Lonchura striata: one gene and its partner. The protein of the gene in region 1 interacts with the protein of each later gene in a biochemical or structural test. Links are inferred from orthologs where the notes say so. Each region holds a gene or a part of one and is shown in the gene's direction. Other genes may lie near its edges. The genes, in order: LIMK2 and ROCK1.

The links.
Region 2: of the proteins of LIMK2 (region 1) and ROCK1, one has a biochemical effect on the other in vitro, tested with the Homo sapiens proteins (2 studies listed by BioGRID). The link is inferred for Lonchura striata from reciprocal best matches to the Homo sapiens genes LIMK2 and ROCK1.

The regions. Positions count from the first base shown.
Region 1 is NC_134620.1:4,576,073-4,588,264, reverse strand, and holds the start of LIMK2 (LIM domain kinase 2), read left to right. Parts: upstream 1-7,209; 5' UTR 7,210-7,256; coding exon 7,257-7,272; intron 7,273-9,757; coding exon 9,758-9,857; intron 9,858-12,192. Other genes in the region: E3 ubiquitin-protein ligase RNF185, read left to right, coding at 1-1, 636-748, 1,270-1,324, 3,250-3,367, 4,496-4,593. UniProt on the Homo sapiens protein: Serine/threonine-protein kinase that plays an essential role in the regulation of actin filament dynamics. Acts downstream of several Rho family GTPase signal transduction pathways.
Region 2 is NC_134603.1:47,965,233-47,977,055, forward strand, and holds the start of ROCK1 (rho-associated protein kinase 1), read left to right. Parts: upstream 1-6,349; 5' UTR 6,350-7,282; coding exon 7,283-7,375; intron 7,376-11,823. UniProt on the Homo sapiens protein: Protein kinase which is a key regulator of the actin cytoskeleton and cell polarity.

The DNA.
Region 1 (12,192 bases):
GGTAAGACAGGTTTTCTTTTACTCTGTCTTTCATCAGCTCCAGTTGCTCAATAAAGCCCTTGGTTCTCTGGAGTATCCCCCTCTTTTCAAATGTGCTTTTCTCTCCAGGGCAGTCACAACCTGTTCATGCAGCTTAATGTGCAACAGCTTGCAATCTGCTCTTTGAGCAACAAGAAAACTTAGATTCTGTTCCACTTGCCTCCACTTTTGAGTTTCTTAAACCCTGCGTAATTGTATTTTTGGTACAATTGTTGTTGGAGCTTACAGGGTTTAGTTTGCACGTTTAAGTGCTGAGTGTACTTCTCTTTGTGTACATAGTGTTTTACATTGTGGTAGCACTACAGAGAAGGTGGATGACAGGAAGGGTATCTGCACTAACCCTTGGCCTTTGTAGGACTTTTTATTTCTTATTTTACTCCAGCACAGATGTGAATATGTACACATCAGCAAGTTGTTCCCATCAGAACAGCCTAAGTGCCAACTCCACTTGAGGGAGTACTTGGCACTTAGAAAAATGTTTTGCTCCAGAACTTTGTGAGAAATTGCTACAGTCTTTCTGCCTGGCTGCAAATTAGGTTTTGCATAGTTATTTTTGTGGCATTTTAGTGGTTTTCTTGTAATTTCCTTTCTTTTAGTGGCTAGAGACCAGGCCAAACAGACAAGTGTGCCCTGTATGCAAAGCAGGAATCAGTCGAGATAAAGTTATTCCTCTGTATGGAAGAGGTAGCACTGGGCAACAGGACCCCAGGTAAGAAACCTAAATGCAACTCTTCTCATTTGAAAATTAAAGATTAAACTTTAGTTTAGGGTCAAAAGATTAAGCTGTTAAAATGCTGGATTCACAGTTTTAAATACTTTGTCAAAAGACATAGATCTCATATTTCTGCCAAATATTTCTGGCTTTTTTAGGGCTTGGGTTTGCACACATTTCTTGTTCTACTGGCAATTCATTTTAATTTTAATCAAGTGTTAATTATCAGTTACAAGTGGCAGGTTGCAGTGATTATTATCTGACTAGAGAATCTTATATTAAATGTTCATATCCTGAGTTTTTAGCCTTTGCAGTGGGTGTTTGTTATTCAAAAATACAGCATTATGTGCTGCTGAAGGTCCAAAGCTGCGTGGTTGACTCTCTCACACACTGTTCCAGCTCTGCTGGATGGCTCCAGGAGACTGTCTCTTATGGTGATTCTGTATTATTAGCCAGGCTACTGCAGATACTGTTGTCACATGTCCTTGCACTTGAGTTAATTTCACCACTTCCTGCAGAGAGAAAACTCCACCACGACCCCAAGGACAGAGACCTGAACCAGAGAACAGAGGGGTAAGTGATCCAACAAGCTTGAGTGGTTTAGTTGTTTTTCATTGATAGTGGTATTTATTCATCCTGGAGGACATAATGCGTGTGAGAGAACCTGCATGAGGATCCTGCAGCTTCCCCAGCTGGTTGTTCATGAATCATTGGTAGCTGTGGTGTGGCAGAGAGCTCCATTCCTGTGGTACCCTTTAGCATCCCAAAGAACAACCCATCTTGGATCATGCTTCATGAATGCAGCCCAGTGCAGTATCACTGGAAAAGCTTTTAATGCTTGATTGTTTTCCATGTTTAAATACAAGGAACACTTTGCTTTGAAAATTCGTTGTGCAAGTGTATTTCTGTCAAAACATACGTGTCATTAATTAATCCACGTATTAATTTGGATTTTTTGACACTGACACCTGCTTCTCTCATTTTGACGGGATGTTACTGTACCATGGCATTACAAGCAAGAGGAAGTTGATATCTGTTGGATGCATGTTAATTTGAAGAGGGATCAGTGGTTTTGTTGAGGAGATTACATAGGGTGAATGTAAACAGCAGCTGGCACAGATGGAGCAGACGTGGGAGTAGGCGGTAGGACAGACCACAGCGTTCTTCAGCACGATGGCAGCAAGCATGACCTGATGAAACAATGGCACATTTCCATGTAACTCAGCCCGGGGTCCTTGGAGAGGATTGTCTCCCTCATGCTTCAAGCAAACAACTCTGCAGGGTGTGATTAAGGTGCATTTCTGTATTGAATGTATTGGGAGCTCAGCTGTTCTCTCTCACTAGAGCATTGCTGCCTTATTAAATCAGCTCCTGTACCTTACTTGAACCTTTCAGGTGGTGCTGCTGTAAATCAGAGGGATGGGGTGTGAAGGCAGGACAGTAGTGATGCTATTCTCTTCATATCCTGTATCTGCCACAGAGAGCTTTGCTGTCCCCAGAGTTAGTGGCAAAATGTTTGAAGAGAGTATGGTCAAAAGACCAACTCCTCAAATCAAGGGTCAACCAAGAAACATTTGACTTTTATTGTATAAGTAAAACCATCTTTGTCCTCCCATTGCTGGTGGTGATAAACCAGAGGGTCTTTCAGAACTGGTATCACTGTTTTAATTCTGAGGTGAGAGGGCAGTTTACTGGATTACAGAGCTGTGGGCTCTCCACAGTGTTTAGTCATGACACAAAGCCCCTAGATTCACACACAGTCAGTATCAAACAGCACACTGCTTCTGCAGAGCAGGATTCATCTCAATTCAGAGCACTTATCTTTTGACTTGATGCGGTATTTCAGTCTGGATCGCTTAAGGTCAGTGTTATTGCATTGTAACTTCCTTTATTTCATCCTTTCCTTATATCTTGCATTCCTGCCCCAGGTTATTTTGCCACCTTAATTTGAGTTCCCATGGTAAATTTTTTTGTGGTTTTCCTTCAAATGCTCTATGCATCCCACTGGGAATTTATAATTTCACTGAGTATTTAACTGATGCACATGTATCACAAATATCAGTTTAGGTTATTTTCTTGAGTACCTTTCTTATATGGCTAACAGCTGTTAACACACGATACATTGTTAAGACATTCTAAGTAGAATTCCTCCTGGTGATTTTGATACATTGGCAGATACTACTTTAAGTTGAGAAAGGTTACAGTTGAAAAACACTGTCCTAATTTGTGGCCCTCAAGCAAGAACTGCAGTTGCTAGTTTTCATTTTCTCAAACCTTTGGGTTGCTCGGTGAATTTGCTGCTGTCTGAAACATTTTAACCCAGGAGACCTAGGGGGGGATCTGGACAAAAGTGTGTCAGACTGAAAGTTGCCAGACAGCGTGACCCTCCTTCTGCCATGGCAAAGCCAGCGAGAGGGAATATCTGCTCATCCACAAAATACTCTGAAATAGGCTCTAAGTGAGTCCCTTTTTTGTCTTCTGTTCTTTGTTCTCTGCAGGGATTCCAGGGCTTTGGGTTTGGTGATGGTGGCTTCCAGATGTCGTTTGGAATTGGGGCGTTTCCCTTTGGTATATTCGCAACAGCCTTCAACATAAACGACGGGCGACCTCCTCCAGGTACCACGGATCCTTCTCCTGCCCCATCACAGACAGACATTTTACAAACTCTTAAATAACCTGCTAAATGGCAAAATATTCTGAGCAGTAACCAGTGTTGTCAATAGAACCACTAAATGAGGGCAGAAACACTCTGTACAGAACGTGGTCTGTGGCTGGTATGTTTTGTACACAGACTTATAAAAGAGCAAGTTTGTCACTTCTATATAATTTGCTGAAGGCCCTCCTGGGAGACCAGTGACTGCAGAGAAACAGTGGCACTGGAGACTACTCTCCTCTAATTCAGATGTCTCCTCTGGTACACCAGCAGACTTCTCCTGAAAAATGTGACAAATTGGACTAGACTTTCTAATAATAATAAAAAGGAGTCACTAGGGGTGTATGAAGGAGACCCAGTTTTAAAAACAGCAGGAAAGTACCATTTCCTGAAAGATGAGAAGGAAAAATTTAAACTGGTGCTCTGTACCACCAAATTATAAATGCAAAGATTGTTCATTTTCCAGAAATTTATCTGAGACAGTCATCTGTATTCTACAAGAAGTAACTTTCCAGTGAAATTACTTCACGTTTTTGATTAAGAAAAAACAGTTGGATTATTCCAAGGGGTGACCTTGCTCTCTAACAATGAAGTAATCCCTAGAGAACCTCCTCCCTATCTTCACTGTAGACAGACTGAATCTGTTTTGAACAAGAATGCCTACTGCCCAGGATTTTGTGAACTTATTTTGTGAACTTATTTTGTGAAAGGTTATACCTGGCAAATCTTCCACCATGTCATATGGCACGGGAATTATGAGGAACAAACTCATTCTTCACATCACACCAGCGTTGCCATGGTCCTGTGCTGTCCTTAGGTCAAATTATTTTCCCTGTTAGCTATAGTTCAGTGTCCCCTGAAAATCTGCTGGGGGTGGGACTGAACTAAGGAATCCTGCTTCAAGATACTTGTCTTCCTTCTGATCTGCCCATACAGGCAGCCAGGCTGAGGGTAGAAAGTAGCAACTTTTCTCACCAAGCAAATCCTTTGCATATTTTTCAATGTATGAATATACTATATTCAGAATATACACAATCCGAGAGAAAAGGAAGGAGCTGAACTGTTTGTTTTTTTTACTTCCTGTTTTCCAGCTGTTCCAGGGACTCCTCAATATGTGGATGAGCAGTTCCTTTCCCGCCTCTTCCTGTTTGTGGCACTGGTGATAATGTTCTGGCTGTTGATTGCATAAATCTTTTCCATTATTATATATATTCATGACCAACAAGGCCACTGAAACAGTTACAAACTGCATCCCCATCCCATTTTAAACCTCTTGGTGTCTGGTTCCATAGCTACCTATGGGCTTCAGGAATTGGTGGTACCACAGCACAATGAGGAATCTCACATTTTGCACCAGAGTTGGTAATTAAAACATTGGTTTAAAAATGTATTTCAGCTCAGATATGTTGTACAACAGGTTCCTGCCACAAACCATGGGCCTAGCGTTGAGCTGCACTCCGAAAGGGAGTGCTGCTTTGAAATCCTGTGCCAATCAGTGACACCAGGTCTGTGGGATACACAGTTATCCCAGCGCAGACTGGGCAGGTAAGGAAACTTCTTCAGTGTCACCAGTATCTCCTGCTTTGCAACCACGATGGATCTGCCAGAGCTGCAGATGTTATTTAATGTCTCCATCAACATCTGACCTTCTCCAGGAAATCATCTGCAGCACTGCTGAGACTCTCTGGGGCACAGCACGTGATGCAAACGGAACCAGGCCTGGAGACTGGTTTCTTTTCCGCCTGTTATTTCCTGGTGTGATGGAAAACCCTTCCTGAATGGTTCTGATGGCTGTTAGAAGAAGGGATACATATTTATGCTGCAATTTTTTAAAGCCTAAGCATGCTGGAGCCATCCACTGGAAGATTCTCTGGCTGTGGAGCCAGGTGGGGCTGCTGGACCCAGCCCAGTTCCTCACTGACAAACAGTGTTGTCTTCCCCAGCTCTGTGCAGCACCTGTGGCTGCACCCGTGGATAATCCCCTCACAGCCTCGTCACTGTAGCAACATTTATCTTTCTCAAGGCTTTGAGACTTTCTACAGAAGGTCATGTACTCCAGATAAAATCCTATTACAGATCTGAGATCAGCTTGTTTGGGGAGAGGAACAAAAGGCATCTTTACATGAGTTTTGAGGTAAAACTTGTCATACTGTAAAATTATACAGGAGGAGACATGAGATCCTGCCTTTGCCAGCACATGCTCAGTAGGGAACATTTGGAAGACCTTCTCTCTGCAGATGCACGCAGACCTTCTCCCGTGCCACAGCAGAACTACAGCGCAAGAGTCTCTGCAGCTAAAATCTACCAAAGATTTTAATTTGAAGTGCTGGAGGAGACCACAACCATTAATGTGCTGAGGGGATATTTCAGAAGGTGAGCAATCTGCAGCCGCTTTGGGATCCTGTTGGGTATCCAGCTTTAAAGAGTACTCCTGATGTATTTGTGTAGATTCCTTCAAAACAGGTATGAGAAAGTCCCTAGCAAGATGAACAGTTCATATTTCTCTGACTAGGCAATTCCATTTTTTTTCCTCTTACTGTCTATAGATTTTTTTGATTCCGGCCACTCATAGTCATAATGATTTCCTGCAAGATGAATGTTGTGACTTCCCTGGCAGTAGACAGAAAAACTGAAAAGCAAATCAATTAATAGAAACTTCATTTCAATATCTTGGGATTTTTTTAGCATATGGAAGTGTTTCCTGGGCAGGACACCTTTAATTAATTGTTATAGAAGTTTATTTATGTAATTATAAACTGTTTCCTTTTAGTGTCAAGGCAGAGTATGACTGAAGTTTAACTTGCCTACCTCCAAAATTCCATCTGGCAAGTAGAATGTTGCAAAGCTTCTGCAGTGTTTTGTCACGTCAGATTTATACCTGACTTAATGATAATCTGATAGAATATATTGCTCAACTATTTATAGTTGAGGTGGTGCTTCAGCTTTTGTTGTGTGACACTTCTGAGTAGCTGAACTTTGGCATAGGGTTCTTCTCAAGTGTGTAACTTGGTAACTGGGGCCCTTCCCAGGAGGAAAGGCTGTTTTGTTTGGTTGTCCTACAATGTCGCAGCTTTGGCTTCCTCTCCTGCGCAGTCAGCACCACCTGCTGATGGGAAGGGAAGGTTTGTGTGACAGTAAGAGATGGATTCCTTCTCCTTTTGTACGGAGAAACTCGATGCTGAGAGGTTATGCAGGAAGGAGAAGCCTTTATCCCGTAAAGAGGATAGAGAAGTGACTGCAATAGATTCAAGAGGTACTGAAATATATTTAATTAATACATTTTAAAAACCAGAATTTTAATGGATTGGGGATGGGGAATTTCCATCTAGGAGTGAGAGAGATAATGGATTTAGAGAAGGCTGCAGAAGCATGACCGAGAGCTCTTATTTTCCGGCAATTCAAGGATGAAATAGTCTAAAAGTGTTAACGCTTGGTTCCCCCTTTCCCTGGTGTGCTTTTGTATGTACCCCTTCCCGTAACCTGACCGCACACGGCCCGGACGGCTCGGTTAGTGCGTTACCGTTGCTCCTCACTAATTTTCACTGTTGTGAAAGTGATTTAGAATTAAAAAATGGTTTTACATTGAGCGGAGTGCGCCGCCGTTCCTTTGCGCTGCCTCGGGGGCGGGAGCGGGGCCGCGCCCGCCGGGCACGTGCGGGGCGGGGCTGCGGGCGGGCGGCGCCGCCATTGGCCGCCGGCGCGGAAAGGGCGGGGCGGGCGGGGCGGGGCAGCGCGGGGATTGGCCGGGGCGCGGAGAGGGCGCCGCCGATTGGTCGGGGGCGGGCGCGGCGCCGCGCAGAGGCGGGCCCAGGTGCGGCGGCGGCCGCTGGCGTCGGGCGCGGCGGGCGCGGGATGGAGGCGCTGCCAGGTGAGCTCGGGCCGGGCCGGCCGCGCCTCCGCGGGAGGAGCCGCGCTCCGCCGCCGCGGGGCGGCCGCCGCTGCATCGGCGGGGGCGCGGGGCTCGACGGGGCCGCTGCCTCCGGAGCCGGCCGGACGTCAGCCCTGGCTGGGGAGCGTTCTGGGGCCGGCCCGCGGCTCCCTCCGGCCGGTGGCACCGCCGGTTCCCGGGGGTTCCCGGCGGGTCTCCGGGGCACTGAGATCCGCAGGACGGCCGTGGGAGACGCGGCGCGTCCCCCCCGGGGCGGCCGGAGCCGGCCGGGTCGTGCAGCGCCGGTGCCGCGGGGCCGCCGGTGCCGCGGGGCCGCCGGTGCCGCGGGGCCGCCGGTGCCGCGGGGCCGCCGGTGCCGCGGGGCCGCCGGTGCCGCGGGGCCGCCGGTGCCGCTCAGCCCGTCCCCGTTGTCCCGCTCGGTGTCCGCCGGGGCCACGGCGGCTGCTCCTCGCTGGCCGTCTCTGACACATTCCTCCCGTCTGGGAAACTCGACAGACCTGTTACATGGATTATGTCCGTTTGCGTTTCCTTCGCACTGTTTCCTGCTCTGTTTTCTTCATTTCCGTCGTTTCTCCTGCATACTGAAGCAATTTCTGTTGGATTGAGGACTGTTCGTTTCCCTTTGTGAGCTAATCAGCCTTCCTGGGTACACTTAAAGAGATGTAGCACTGCAGCTGAGAGTAGGTGTAGTTTCTTCGTGGAGTTCCGAAGCCGATGGGTCAGATTCTGTAAGATGGTCGGGGAATAATTTGTTGCTTCTGGTCAGCTATGGTGTAATAGTTGATCTTTAAATATCTTTAGTAGGATCCACAGACAGTTTTTACACGTGTGTGTTGTGCTGGTGACACTGAATGGGAGGGGATGGAGCTGCAGAATGTTTGGTTTGCAGGTAGTTTTGGCCTGCAGCTATTTCAGAAATTCAGCTGACTTCCAGGGCTTGCCCTGCTTGGAGAGGAGAGCGTTGGCTGCCTGTGCATGGAGGCACAGGCACACGGAGCTTTGCCTTTTATTCCCAAGCCCGTTTGGTGCACTGAAAAGCCATTTCCTTTATGGGACAACATGGATAGGATCAGGTTTTTCCAAGGTTCTCCCAGCCTTTACTCTACTGTGCAGGTGTGAGCTCAGGTGCAGTTCTTGGTGTTCTGGATTAGCAGAAGGGCACAGGGGCAGGTGATCCAGGTGTGGTGCTGATGCACACTTAGGGACTGAAGTAGCAGTCACATTTGAAGGAACCCTTTGAGCCTTACATCTTTATGGAGACCTTCCTGGGTACTGCTGCTCTGCTGGTGATAGTGGTGCTTGTAGCTGAGCAGCAAATGTTTTTTTTCCCTGAAATAGCTATTTATGTAAAAAGTGCAAGATCTTCACCCTAGTTAATTTTAAACATTGTCATTGACCTAGACGGTGGGGTAAAGGTGCATGGAAAGTTGATGGCTTCTGTTTTGTGTAGCTTCAGGGAATTTAACAGTGGTATGAACTTGCCTAAGCAACTACCAAGTTGTACCATTCTTTGGAAAAGGGAAGTCCGTGGTTTGTGGTTTGCTTTTCTAAGTGCACCTTTTTCTTTAATGCTGCCTTGCTACAAGGAAACTGTTAGTAGCAGGAAGAAACAGGTTTGGGATCTTTTCAGCTCTCTGACACATTTCTTGTGCCATCCTGTGCTGAACTAAGATTCTTGACTCTTTAATATGCCTGCACTGCCCTTGGGATTTTGGATACCATTTATCTGTGTGCCAAATGTTCTTTGTGCACAAGCTTTCATTCTGTTTTTCTAGCTTGCTTGCATCTAAGTAACCAGCTCTCTCTGGGGCTTTCTGGCAGTTCTAGCAAAAACTATTATAGCTCTATTATAACTTTTATAAGTATTTTCTGAAAGGGCAATAGGCCAGTAGCATAACTCCCCCTTTCTAAGTCTGATGGGTAGTCTGATGTTGGCTGTACAGTCTCTATGGGATTATTCATTCAAGAGTGTAATTCCTTCCTGGTAGTCTACTTGTTCTCTACTGAAAGAAGTTTGTCTTTCCTTTCTTTCAGTTCTGGGAAATCCAGTTAATTCTACAAATGCGAGCAAATGTTTTGTGCTGAGTCAGTGGTGTGGGGGAAGCAGTAGCGTGTCTTCCTGGCCTAGCATGGTTCTCTGTTGGAATTGTTGTACTAGACCAGTGTTGCCTTCCTGAAATCTCTGCTCTGACAGAGCTGTAACTGAGCTGTTTTATGTGAAAAGTCATAGTCTTCTTTTCTGCAGAATGTGAAGAAAGAGATGTCATGTCTGGGGAAAAAAATATACAAGATATCAGAGTTTGATTTGGGAGTTCCCACTCTGGGGTTATAGACTTCCTGCAGCTTTCCATGTGGGAAGGCTTTCCTGTCAGTTACTTAAGATTGTTCTTTATGAAAGATGTACCAATCTTTGTTTTCTCTGGTGTAAACTGGTTGCTGTTTGTCCCCTTATTGCTGCGTGCAGGTGAAGAAGTCTGGAGATGCCTGGGATGTGGGGACAGCATTGCTGCTGGGCAGCGCCTCCACAAGACTGTCAATGAAGCTTGGCACATCTCCTGTTTCCGGTAGGTGAAGCTTCAGCCTTTAAACCCTCCTTGTGTTGTTCCACTGCCTGGGAGCTGGTGGTGAAGTACCAGCATGAGCTGGGAATTCCTACAGTGATCTCTGTGCCTGACCTGTTCCGAGCTCGTTTGTGCTGTACCCCAGGGACAGCATCCAGTCCTGAGAGCAGCTGACACTGCCTGGCAGCACGGCTGCGCTGACGCAAACGGGATACAGATAAAGTGCAAATAAAAGCTCTGATTTACTGGTGGTGGCAGAAGCCATGGCTTACATGTTTGTCTTCTGCAGCATTCCAAAGTAGTGCCCAGGCAATTTGCACAGCCTGTTACTTTTTCATTGTGTGGTAGGTGCAAGGGTGTTATCAGGGTGCTGATAGAGAGGAGGGAAGAGACAGAGATCTTGCCTTTTGCTTTCTCTCCTTTGCAGACTCTTAAGACAAATTTATGAAATCTGTTAGATAATGTTGCTGTCTGCAAGGACAAAAAGGAATATCTGCTGTGCTTTTTCGTGGTGGTAGGAGTAATACCATTTTGGTTTTCCATGAATATTCAGTCCAGTTTTCATGCTCCAGAATCACATTTCTGAAGGGGTCTGTATTTTTGAAAGAGGTTGAGTACCTCCAGCTTCTACTGGCTTCTCTGTTGGTTTGAATATGGGGAGGCTAATGTTTCGTTATTGTTAAAGAAAGTGGGGAGAAAAGGAAGCCAAAGTGTGGCTTTGGAGGAATGTTTTTTGTGCCAAAATAAGCATCTATTGTCCTCGTTTAAAGAACAGAAAAAAAAAGAAGCCAACAAAATACCCCAACTTTGTTGAAGGTTGATTGTGGTTATTGGTATATTTAAAAAAAATAAAGCATCTCATGCTGCCAAAGCAATGCAGGCTCAGTTCACTCAGAAAATGCTGTTTTAGTGACACATTAATAATCACAATAACATTTGATTTCATTACAAGTCCCAGTATTTCGGATTTCTGTTGGTTTTAGTGTTCATGTTTAGCCATAATGAAGCAGCTTGTCTTAATCCTGGTTTTCTCTTTTCCCTGAAGGATGAGTATCCTGCTGAGCTTCCCTAGATTCTGCCAGTAGCCAAACCCCAAGCTGTGTGTGCTGGGAAATCTGTCCCTCTTGCCATTGAATGTATTTCTCTTGTGGGTCTTGATTTGTAAATGTTGTGGTACTTCTTGCTGTTGGAGCTGTTGAGGTAAGGAACAGCTGAGCTGGAGGCAAATCCTGCCTTTGGGACACTTCACAGAGGATTTGTTTTCATAGGTTATAGTGTATAATGGAGGTTTGTTTGTTGCTTCTGGGCTGGTTTGTTTGATGCAAGCGATGACACCAACCTTTCTCTGAGCAGTGTAGTCACTTTTTGTATTTGCTGATGCACTTCTTTTGCTCTGTGCTTTTGGTGAGCTCCAGCACCCAGCGAGGCTGCTGTGCTCAGTGAACAGTTGGAACCTGCAGGAAAGGAAGCTGCCCTCCCCTTTTTCCTAGTTCCAGGGTAGGACTGTACATGAAAACAAGTTTCCAGTTTACACTGTGCTCCTCCTTTTCTTCTGCTGTCCCTAAGCCATGCTGAGCAGCAGTCTTATGCCTGATATCCCAAAGCCAAACTTTAAAAAGCCTCTACGGGTAGGAGGCTTTGGCAGTTGGTAGCTGTGAGTTCCGGCAGCTCTTGTGGAGTGTTTTTTGCAGTCTTCCTGTGGATTAGCTGACTCCCTGGCCTGGCACATAATTTCTCTAATGCTGATTGGCACTGCTCCAGGCTCGTTAGCTCTGTTTATTCTTGGTCAGGCTTGGCGCTGACGTACATGAGCGTCTCCGAGGATTTAAGTTTTTGTCACTTCCCTCCTTCCTCAAACTGCATGTACAGGAGCTTTTGTCTCTGAATCCTGCATTTTCCCTGCTGTGGCTTGAGAGAAGAGCAAATCCCTGTTTGTAGATCTTGGATATTTTAGACTGTTCTTTGGCCAGCCTGTTCCTTAGGCTTGAATCTGATGGGTTGGATCTGGCTGAGGAAGTTTCTTAAATGTTTCTGTCACAGTGTCTGTTGTGAATTAACTCTGAATGTGCTTTTGTGCCTCTGAGTTCAGTTGAGACAGCACACTCTATCAAAGGTCACTGCTTTTCACAGTTTGACTGGATTTGGAAATTTCATTGCACAGAACTTCAAACATTACACCAAGAAAGGGAAAGATAGAAGTGAAAAGGTATTTTTTTCCTAGGTCTGGATCATTTTTACCTCAGGGGATTATTGGAAGAGCTTTTTTGACCAAGAGCTTGCTGGTTTTATTGTTTTTGATCCAACTCTTTTCCATATTGCAAAATAGAAGGTAATGCCT
Region 2 (11,823 bases), on another chromosome or scaffold:
AAGAAGAAAACTCCTTAATCTCATTGATGATTCACAAGATAATAGCAGTGTAGAAAATTGGATTAATTTTTTAAGAGGTCTAAAATGATGATAATCGCTCTACTTTTAATGGAAATAATTTCTTTCTATATCCATTTATATAATGTAAATATATAGACACAAATGATGTATTATTTCTGTTTATATCCTGGTGTATGACCATCAGAAGATTACTTTTTGGCTCCTGCTTTAATATACTCTTAAATTTCTGAAACCTTTGTTTTTTCAGGCAATATTTTTCCACAGTTTTTTGTTGACTTACAAGTTGAATTTGTTTGGCTTTTCGAAGATTTCCAACAAGAAGTACTTGGGCCATTTTTAAGCCTTGGGATAGTGAAAATAAAAAAGCTTTTTCCCATGGAAGAATTTCTGGCAAATTGACATTTTCTGTATCCATCAAGTGGCTTTAACGGGAAGATAGTATTTGCCACAGAAATGGGGCTTACTAGGGTATGAAGATTTCAGCATTCCAGTGGAATTTTGATTTGATTTCAAATCAGTTTGTGAACGTTCGACATACATTGGTGAAACGATTTGGTTTTTTGCACTTTTAAAGCATAAAAGCAGAGGGAGCCTCTGCTGTATATGCACTTGTGGCTGATATTGGCCTAAGCCTTATGGTAACCAGATATGGGAGCTGCTATCTATCTCTGGGCTCACAGCTCCCCTCCTTTGCAGATAGAACAGGAGTTACTTTGGGAGTGTCTATGCTGTTTATACAACGATGCCCTTGTCTGCTGGCAGCAAACACATCTGCGTTTGCACTGGAACAGACAATGCCATCCAGTTTACTTCCTCCCTTGCAGAAGTTTATTTTCAGACCGGATCCTCTCCATCAAACTGATCCATTAATTTCCAAAAGGTGATTTTCCCCCACTACTTCTAGTTTGTTCAAGAACATACAACAAAGATTCAGATTCGGGTGCCCCATTTTTTACTCATCACTCACCACTCACAGGCAGTGGGAGCAAGTTCTCCTCAGGGTTCCAGCACAAGTACTACTGTGCTTGAAAATGCACTGTAATAGTGAACAGCAGCAGCTACCCTCTGCTGGGAAGGTGGGATATATTGGAACAGGAAAGGCCACATGCCTGGAGCCTCGCACCTTTATTAAATCTGGTGAAACATGCAGGAAACATGCGGGAAAAACATATTTATATGTTGCACTGTTTCAATGACAAACATATGTTTGCTAAACATCTGAAAGATACTGCTTTGGTTGAGTCTACTCATAGGAAATTCTCTTTTCATCTATTATTTGCAAAAGTGTTTTCTTGTGCTAGAAGTTCTTATTGCCTAGGCCGCTTCTATTCTATTTCTGTTCTAGGTCTTATGTTTTGCCTCATCAAGAGCCAAGATGATTTATCAGCATACTAAATTATGACTAATATCTCTCTAATTTTTTTACTTTCTCTCTCTTATTCATAGGGCATTTTAATGTGTTCACTGCTCAGAGCACTTTGCAAGCTTTCAGCTGCAATTCCCTGAGGAGTCTTTACAATGCATAGGTGAACTCCCAAGGGAGGTGAGGGGGCTGCAGTGTGTCACTGCCTTGACTTCAGCTTTAAATCAGCTACTTACAGCCACCAGCATTCATTACCTAACACAGCCTTTATTTTTCAGGTTTTGCAAGCACACTGAGACCAATGCTAGACTTTATCATTACCCAGAGTCAGTTCAGATATGTCTGCTTGAGCATCCATCACACCTTGCCTGAAGCAGGAAGCTCCTGCAAATAGCCTGTTGCACAGATGGGCTTTAGCAATGATAAAATATTTTGCCCAAGGACTGGATTTGTTGACCAGTTTTCATCCCAGGGCTTCAAGCCACACTGGCCTGTGCTATTAACTGTTCCTAGGACTAGAGCAGAGGCTAAACTAAGCCAGTTTTGCAGGGCAAAGAAGGAGAGAGGCCAGTGGACCAAAGGCAGGCTTAATATAATGTTATTTAACTGCTGAAGGTTTCATGCTGACTAAATTGGAAGCTGAATGTGAGGGAACCTCTTGCATTACTAACTTGACCTAATATGGTGAACAGGATATAGTCTCATTTCTGTCTTGTGCAACTCTTCTGAAGTCAGTAACTACTTCAGGAACATGGGTGTCCCAGCCTGTTCTCTCATTCTGAGAGTGTATGCTTTTTAAAATGCACACTCAGTGACCTGAAAAATCTAAATGGCATTTGACTTTATTACAAGCTCTTTTGCTTAATTCTTTTTAGCTTTTTCACAAGAGGATGGGAGTAATAGTACCTGCTCAGAGAGGGCTGAGCCAACGCTTTGAGTATTCCACTGCTCTTGTGTTCTTCCTGTTTGCTAAATGTTCCTGAAATGAGCACTACTGAAACCTCTTACATGCACAGTTTTATTACTCTCATGTATAATAATGTTATTTGCAAAATAAACAGTATTACTTGTACTTTTCATAAATATTTTATCATGGTTTAGAGGAAGCCAGTGTAGTCATTCTACAGTTTACTGATATTCTGTATTTAATGAGAAATTTCAATCTCTGCCAAAAAATCAGTTTTTAATTCAGCATCAATTTGTATCACAGAAAAAGCAGGAACATTTAAATATCTTATGAAACAGGCAGGAGAATATGGATATGGGGGCCATGGTTTTGTTTTTATTAGGATTATCAGTTTGTTAGTTTACTTTGTATAGCCATCAACTTACTTAGAGACACTTTCAAGAATTAAAGACTTTTAAAGTCTCTACTTTTGAAGAGAGAAAAGCCTCTGCTTTTTGAAGAGAGAAAAAATGATCTTTCACGTTTGCATACTTTATCAGCTCAGTGTTATCAGGTCATGTATATGTTGAGTAATTCCTATCTCATGCAACAAAAGCTAGTTTGATTCCAAAATATGTGACACAACAAAGCAACAAGAAGAAATTAACCATTTTTTGTTTATTTATCAGGAAGGTAAACCAAAAAAATTTAATGTTCAAAAGTTCAGTGCACTAGTTGGTTGTGTAGGATGGGGATTTGTATGATTTCTAAGGGGCCAATGCTAGAAATATGCAAGTTCCTAACCATATAGATACAAATAGTCTGACTGAAGTATGTGAAAACTGTCTTTAAGATCCCAGCATGTGAATGAGTGTTCTCTGGATTAAAAACTATTACATTACACTCTCACATTACAACATGAGTACTTTATTACACTGGACACTTAACCCATACCTGCTTTTAAAAATTAGAATCAATTATCCTTTTTGATGCTGGTAGCCAAAGCCTCCCTTTTACAGTTTTGAAGTAGTGCTCAGAGTTTCCTAGACAGCTGCATGAGTACCTCCCACACAAATTCTATTCTATTTGAGACAGACAAACAAGCATTTTTAGTCCACAACAGTTGTGAGAAAAGCCCAGTCTGACAGACATGTTTGAAACACACAGATCTTGCACACAGATGAACACAAACACAGTAGCTTTGCTTACCACAAAGTCTGGTAGAAGTTCTCAGGTGTTCTGCTTCAGAGGCAAGATCCTTCACTGGCAAAAAACCATGTGAGGCTGGGCCTGTCCAATGCCCTCCTCTTGTCTCTGTGAATTCACCAAGATGCCAAACAATGGGATGGTGCTTCTCTCCACTTTCTGTGTTGAATCTGGGCCACTGTCAAAAAAATTTAAAAAAATGCAAAGAAGCAAAGAGCAAGAGGGAGCAAGACCTATGTAGCTTTGTTTCAGGGAGGTCTGGAGACATGCAAGGTGTTTTGCATTTCCAGGAGTATCTGTAAGTTTTCCCATAGACATTGGATAAAACACATAAGTGACACCTGCTGATCACAATGCTGATCCTCCCCACTAAACTGCAGATTCAGGCTTCCTCTTCCATACGCTATTACAGGCTCATGAATTTTGCATTGTTTTCAGTCAGGCGCCTCAAATCACCCTGCTGAAGCCTGGCATCATCCCTAATGCTTAAATCAGGTGCCCAAGAGCACTGTGAATTAGGCTTTGTATCTCTAGTGATGATTTTCATCTTGCTTTAGATGAAGACTGCAAGAAGCATTTTCTGTGTATTTTAGAAATTACTTACTGTATCACTTATGAAATGATCCCAAGCCTACACCCTGCAGCTTGCAGAATTGTTCTCTTTGGACTGTGGTTGCTCAAATGGAACATCTGCATTTCCAAGAGCAACCAAACCCTCTGAATCAAAGGGCTGTGGCAGTAGCCAGCATAAAACGAGAGAGCAGGAAATGTTGTTGTAGCCTGTATTTTTGCTTTAACTGTAGATACTTCTCAGCAGAAAACAAAACCAAAGATGCAGGCAGCTGTGGATAAGAAAAAGCAAAATGTAGAATACTATTTCTTATTTTTATCTGCATCAAGCAAGATAGCAAGTACTGACATCCAGGACTGAATAGCTCGAATGCTCTAACACTTGGCTATGAATTGGTTTCCTAACCATGACATGGAAAATAACTTACAGTGCTAATGATTCAGGTTTGCTACTGGCAACTGTTCAGTGACCAGAGATTAATAACTGACAATCTCTGTGCAATTTATAGTGATCTTAGTAAAAATGTCATTGCCATTTATGGAACTGCAGTGGAAGTCGAAGAACCGAACCAGTACAGTGGCCTCTGTCCAGTAATATTTGAAATCATTACCTCGCTCAAGTCTCAAGCTGACCCACAGGAAGATCCGGTTGGATGTTATGAGGAATTTCTTCACAGAAAGGGTTGTTAAACATTGGAATTGACTACCCAGGGAGATGGTGGCATCAGTATTCCTGAAGGTGTTCTAGAAAAGACTGGATGTAGCACTTAGTGGCATGTTCTAATTGACATGATGGTGTTCAGAGGTTGGCCTGGATGATCTGAGAGGTCCCTTCCAACCTAAGGGATTCTACAGTTGTTTCCTTATTTGAAGAAAAGGACCCTGCTGTGGTCTCAAGGTAAGGTTTGAATTGGAAACACCAACACAGGCTGCACAGATTTACTGCTGGTATCTATTCTTCCTGTGTTTGGTATGCTACCTTGCGCATGGCTCTTGACTGGACATAAACGGGAATGCTTTTAACTTCCAGCACTGTGTAAGCTGGCCTCTCCTTCCTGGGACACACAGGATGGCAGAGTGGCTGCCACTGAAATGGATCTCTGGAGGCCAGCTTCTCGTAGTCCTCCTGATCAGGTAGGACAGAACTGCAGAATCACAGAATAGGTCAAGGTGGAAAGGTACTACACTGTGCAATGTGGTCCAATCTCCTTACTCAAGCAGGATCATCCCAGAGCACATAGCACAGGATTGCACCCATACAGTTCTGGAATATCTGCAGTGAGGGAGCACCTAAGGACCACCGACAGCCGGCTGCCCAGGGCCTGGCTTTTGAAGATCCGCAAGGATGGAGCCCACAGCAGCTCTAGGAGTGACCCTCCCTACCACCTGTCCCCCGTGCCCGTGCCGTGCAAGGCGGCGGGAGCCACCAGCGCTGAGGCGCCTCCGGGGAGCCGGGGCGGAAACACGGCGGCAACACCCCCCACGGCTCGGGGAACGGCGGGAAGCGGAGCTCTTCCCGCGGGACGCTGGCCCGGGGCTCCGCGCGATTCCCGGCGGAACTGCCGGGCGGGGGCGGGCGCACAAGGACAGCGGCTCCCGGAAGGGGGATCCCGGGCGTCCCACCGCCGCGCCCGCACCGGCGCCGGGCTCCGGCCGAACGCGCTGCCTCCGCCCGCTCCCGCCTCTCCGGCTTTTTCCTTCACCAGGGCAACGAGGCTGGTGCAGGGTCTGGAGCGCATATCCCACGAGGAACGGCTGAGGGGCTGGGGGTCTTTAGCCTGGAGAAAAGGAGGCTCAAGGGTGACCTTATGGCTCTCTACAACCACTTGAACGGAGGGTGTGAGCAGCTGGGGTCGGCATCTTCTCCCAGACAACAAGTAACAGGACCAGTGGACATAGCGTTAAGCTGCGCCAGGGGAGGTTTAGATTGGACATTAGGAAAGTTTCTTCACAGAAAGGGCGATTAGACGCTGGAATAGACTGTGCAGGGAGGTGGTGGAGTCACGGCCCCTGGAGGTATTTAAGGAAAGACTGGATGTGGCACTCAGTGCCCTGGTCTAGTTGACACGGTGGTGTTCGCTCACAGGTTGGCTCGGATGGTCTCCGAGGGCTTTTCCAACCCAACGGATTCGGTGACTGTGATTCCTTCCCAGGCGCGCGCCCCCTGCCGTCCCGTCCCGTCCCGTCCCGTCCCGTCCCCGTCCGCACCGGAGCCGTTCCCCCCGCGCATGCGCCCCGCGCCCCGTCCCGACTGTTCAAACAGGAAGGCGGACATGTTGGTGGATCTCGCAGGTTCCCTTGAAGCCGCTGGACCTCACGCTCTCCCCTCCCCTTAAGCCACCTCCTTCCTTCCTTCCCTCTCACGCCGCAACCTCGGGTCGGTTCTGAGGCGGTCCGGGCTGCCATCACGTCCGTGAGGCGGAGGAGCAGAGAGGGAGGGGCTGAACCGGCGTTGGCAGCGGCGGGAGGCAGCGAGGAGAGAGGAAGAAAGATGCTGCTGCGGCCGTTCCGCCGGTGAGGTTACTCGTCCGCCGCCCGCGGGGGCACTCGCCCGGTGCCTTCCTCTCTTCCTCGCCCGGTGCCCACGGACGGAGCGAACCCACGGCGCTGAGAGGGGTCTTCTAAGTTTTATTTTACCATCCATTTTTGCCTTGTTGGTGTGGCTGCAGGCTTTTGTCTTTTTTTCTTTCTTTTTTTCTTTTTTTTTTTTTTTTGTTTCCCCTCTTCTGTTGTTTCTTCTGGTTCACCGGAAAGAAAGCCGCGCTCCGGAACCTGGCACCGACCCGCCGGCGCTGCAGCGGCGGGGCGAGGAGGAGGGACCGCTACGCTGGAGCCCAGGACGGCTTCCCCGGCTGGGAAAATGGGAATGCTGAGGCGGTGGGGCCCGAGCAGAGGAGGGAGGGAGAGGAAACCTGCTGCTGCGGAGCTGTGAGCATCCCGGGAAGCTGCGTGCGTGCCTGGAGGAGCGGGGGGAGAAGCAGCCTCGTCCCCCGCCTGCTGCGGGCTCCCCTTGGATTCTCTGCCCCCTTTGCAGGGACTTGCCCCAGAGACTTTTGTGATTGAAGGGATCTCGCAGGAGGCGCTTCCTCAGCCTGGTACAGGCTGCAGTTTCTCTTTTGCGCTCCCCTGTTCCTGTTTTTTTTGGTGTTTTTTTTTTTTTTTTAACTTTATAATTATAATTTTTTTTTAACCTTAACTTTGCTCTGGAATAAGGGAAACTTTTTAACTCCGGAAACATGTCGACAGGAGAAAGTTTTGAGTCTCGGTTTGAGAAAATCGACGTGACTTTGAAGGACCCCAAATCCGAAGTGAACGTGGACTGTTTGCTGGTGAGTGCGGAGCGCCGATGGGCCCCCGGTCACGTCTCCCCGAATTCCTTACCCTGTGGGACCGAATCTCGCACTCCTGGCCGAGTCTCCGCCCTGCTCTGCTCCGTGCTGGTGTTTTGTTTACCCAGCGTTGGGCTGAGGGTGGGTGAGTGTGCCCGTGTGCCGGGAGAGCGGCTCCTGCCAAGGAGGCGCCTGCCCAGCCCTGCCTCACGCTTGTCATCTCTCGCTCCGAGCGCTGCTCTGTGCCTCGCCGGCTGTCACAGGGGCGCTGGAGCCTTTCCACAAAGGCGCAATTCGTGAGTGCCGTTCCTCTGTGTGAGCACAGGACGTCAAATAGCTTTGATACCAGTTCGCTCTCCAACAACTTTTTTAATGACCGAGGTCCTCTTATGCTGTGGTTAAGCACTGCAGCGCTGACGGTCGCATACAACACAGTTAATAAGCCCTTACAGGTGGGGGCAGGTGTTTAAATGCATTTTAAAGTGGTGGTTGTGGTAGGCCTGCTCGTTTGTTGTTTCCCTAGTTGATTGTACCTAATAGCTGCATCTCACCAGTGCTGTCAGTGTTATAACTGCATCATAGGAAAGCAAGCCATAACACTTCCTGATGTAAAACCAACCAACGTCATTTGGTAGCCGATTGACAGAATTGGATGATCTTTTAGTACTCATTTAGTTCACTGAGTACCACAGTAAACTGCATGCCAAATATAGCCAATTTGTTGGGGATGCATCTGGGTCCTTAGATATGCCTAGGAATACCCTTAAATAGTACCAAAGTGTAATTTGTGCTTTCGCACTGAAGTAGAGGGCTTATTTTCTTTGGAGCAAGTGATGGAAGTTCTTTAGTGTATTTTTTCCCTGGCTTTCTGTTGTTAGAGAGAGGAACAAATAAATTGAATTTGTTCCTCGTATGAACTCTGACATTTGGGGTTGGAAGGGAAGGGAGGTGTGGGGGTGGAGATAGCTCTTAATAGTCATTCTTCATTTTTTGCTGCATGGTTCTTGGCAGAAAGCTTACTTGAGCATCAGGCGGTGAATAGATTAAAAGAATAATGCAAGAATCTGTACAAGTTGACAATATTATTTTTTACTCTCTTTAACTTATTACAGGTTTGTGAGCTTCTGAAGTGTTGGCAGGTCAAACCTGCATCCCTAGATAAAAGCAGAACATTGTGGATGCTGTTGTCACAAAGGAAAACAGCACTGCATCGTCTAGTTAATTTGCTTCTCTTGATCTGCTTTGCTTATCTGTCATCTTAGAACCACAGCTAATGAAAAGACCTCTGGTTCTTAGAATATAGTGTGTCAATTTTGATACCTCGAGACTTATCAGACGTTTTTACAGCCAGGTTCTATTGATAGGTGGCAAGAATATAAAGTTAGCTAAGAGTCCAGAGTTTACATTAACCATGGCTCAGTTTGCTAGTATGTGCTGAGCTGCTGGCTGTTGTATGGGGACCTTCCTACAGTGGTAGGAAGGAATTGCCAGGTATCAGACATGCAGTTGGTAGTATCTTTAACTGTATTCCTTAATCTTATAATCAGTTTAAGGATTTGCCCCATTTCAGTTATCTTAATTGTGATTAGGAACTTAAGCTGTAGTCAGTTTGGGAATGAACTTGCTGGGATTCTTCCTGTCATGCTTGCTGAAAGTTGTTGAACATGTGTTTACATTACAGATTTTAAGGTCCTTTGAAGTGACAGTTTCTTAGGAAATTTCTTTTAAATTATTACCAATTAAAGAAAATGCTGCTTCTGAGGAAGTAGCTTGATAAGCTAGCTTTGTATGTGTTTGGTCAATAAGTCTTAACTGCTGGCTGGACATATACTTTGCTTCACTTGTTCTTGGGGTCTTTTCTATAGAAGAATATAAGTATCCTAACATTTTCTAAACGTCTTAAATATTTTACACCAGTTCTTAATGTGATGATTCACACTACAAGTATCATTCTTGGCCCAAAGTACTATTTATATATCAAATCCATTCAAATCTGTATGGATATGCTTTTAAGGAAGAAATACTTCGGTGTAGGTGTAATTGATTTGCATTTGAATACCTTCTGAAATGAACTTCCCATTCTCCTCCCTGCAAGTCTCAGTTAAAGAGGGAAATTTGACAGACTTTAGACGTGGTACACTTAATAAGAAAGTTAAATAATATTTTTATGACTACATACAAAAATTCTTTCTAGTAAAACTTTAAAAATCTAAAATATTTTAACCTTTGATTAAGGTTGTGCATTGATGTTCCTTACAACTGCTTTGACTTTTTCTAAGCAAAGGTGGCAGCTAACTGTGTGTATCTGAGTGGAAATACAGGAATAGCAGACACACAGACACTTCAACATCTGATATTCTATATGTATATGTTTAAAATGCTGGGGTTCATTTAGGTTCAGGGAACATTTTTTTTGACTGTATGATGAAAAGTCTCAGCAATGTTCTTGGCTTCTCTTAGGATGTTTTTTTCCTCTAACTTGGCTTCATTTTTCTTCTGCTCTTATATTTCTTCCCCATCAGTTTGTAGCCTTCATAGACTAAGAGACAAGACATGGAATAACCTTTAAATCAGCTTTGTAGCCATTTTGGGCTTTGTAACTGTCATAAGCTATGTTCTGTATGCTAGAAAGATTCTAAATTTATATGTGAAATAGTATGAGAACTCTAAGAAAAGAAGATGGGGGTGGGGCCTGATGCAAAGGAAGATGTTACCGTTTGAGGAAGGTGTGGGAGAAGAGTGCTGACAACAGAGCCAAGCAGGCGGAAAAAGCACACTGAGGGCCTTGTAACTTCGATTTACATGCTGCAGGAAGGAAATTCATAAAGCTCAAGTGCAGGAAAGAGATGTATTTACTTTTCCTGTTTTTTCTTACGTAACCGTAATAAAAAACAGAGTAAGAAAATGAATTTAGTTGCAACTGTCTGTAACAAGATTTGTTTCTTTGGGGCTTCCATGTGCTTGATGTAGTACTAGGCATAGGAATCATAGATAAGCTGTCTTTTTTTTGATGAGGCATGAGGAGGCTCTAAGCCTGACTTAGGCATAGACAATGTGTCACAACATCATGTAGTGCATTTTCTCAAAATATTTGGTACTAGGAGTCCTACAGTCCCCAATAGATGTAATAGGACTGAAAGCTGTTTTAGAGAGGTGGTCACACTGTGGGGTGTGCAGTGGTCAGATCCTGGTAATTTCCATAGGGGCGTTGAGTAGGCCCAAAGGCCTTGAGCTAAGTGAGCTTAAATACTGAAAAGTAGTGTTCAGTTAGCATGGTTCTACAACAGTTTTTGGAATGAACCCATATTTTAGTAAATTCTAGGCTTTATGGGCTTCCAGTTTTTGTAGAGTGGGGAGTTAAGGAGTATAGCAAGTGTGTTAGATGTGGGATATTTTGACCTGGAATTGCATATGGTTTTGATTCTAAAATAACTAGTAACTTTTTATGAAAATGTATTTTGGTGCTCTCTCTGTTTAGGTAGGAACTCATGAAGAGTGTTTTCATGGTTTACACAGGCACCTGAGTTATTATATTTATTTTCTTTTTATATATAACAATATAATATTAAAATTATTCATGTACTTAGTCAATTACTTCGGTAGTTGATTTTAGAAACTTCACACTTTTGTTGGTCTTAATCATCAAAGATGTCAAATATTTCATTTATTGAGCAGTTTGTCTTCAAAATAACTGACAGCAGTAAACACTGCAAATCAAAGCATATCACAAACTAGTTTTATTTACTCTGAAGAGATTTCCATTTTTGTTGCACCAGAAATGCATAGCTACAGAGCTTGATTCACCTGTTTTTCCTAGGTTGGTTTCATCAGCTAGATTAATTAATGTTCATCTGTCTTGCATAGGAAAAGGCAAGATGATCTCCTCATCTTTGATATTTAGAGTTCTATATATATCTCTGTTACTAGACATATTTCCCTTCTGTTAAATGTGTTAGAAAGCACTCCTGAAGACTTTGTGATTAGAGATTTTGATAATAAATTTTTAAAAAACAATAAATAAAAAGTAAATAACTAAAAGTACCTTTACTTTAGAAGTACCTATCCAAATAGCTGTTGAAATCATGTTGACTGAAATCACACTAACTCTGCTCTTAAAGTCTGAGTGATTAAATGCTAGAAAAATCTGATATTTGAGAAGCTTCCTTGATTGCTAATGAAGCTTCTTGTTTGTGTATATATATATTCAAGAATCAGAACATCACAAACACTTGCAGATTGTCAGCTTCAGGACAAGTTGTCTGAAGATGGTCCAAAGTAAGTGAAAGTGTTGTGATTGACAAAATCTCCTTGGACGTGTTTCTACCATTCTTTAGGTCCAAGTGAAAGGTCTGCAGTTGTATTGGGGCAATCAGCAGCATCACTACAGACTGCGTCTTGAATGGCTTGGGAGCAGCCCTGTGGAGAAGGATTTGGGGGTAGTGTAGATG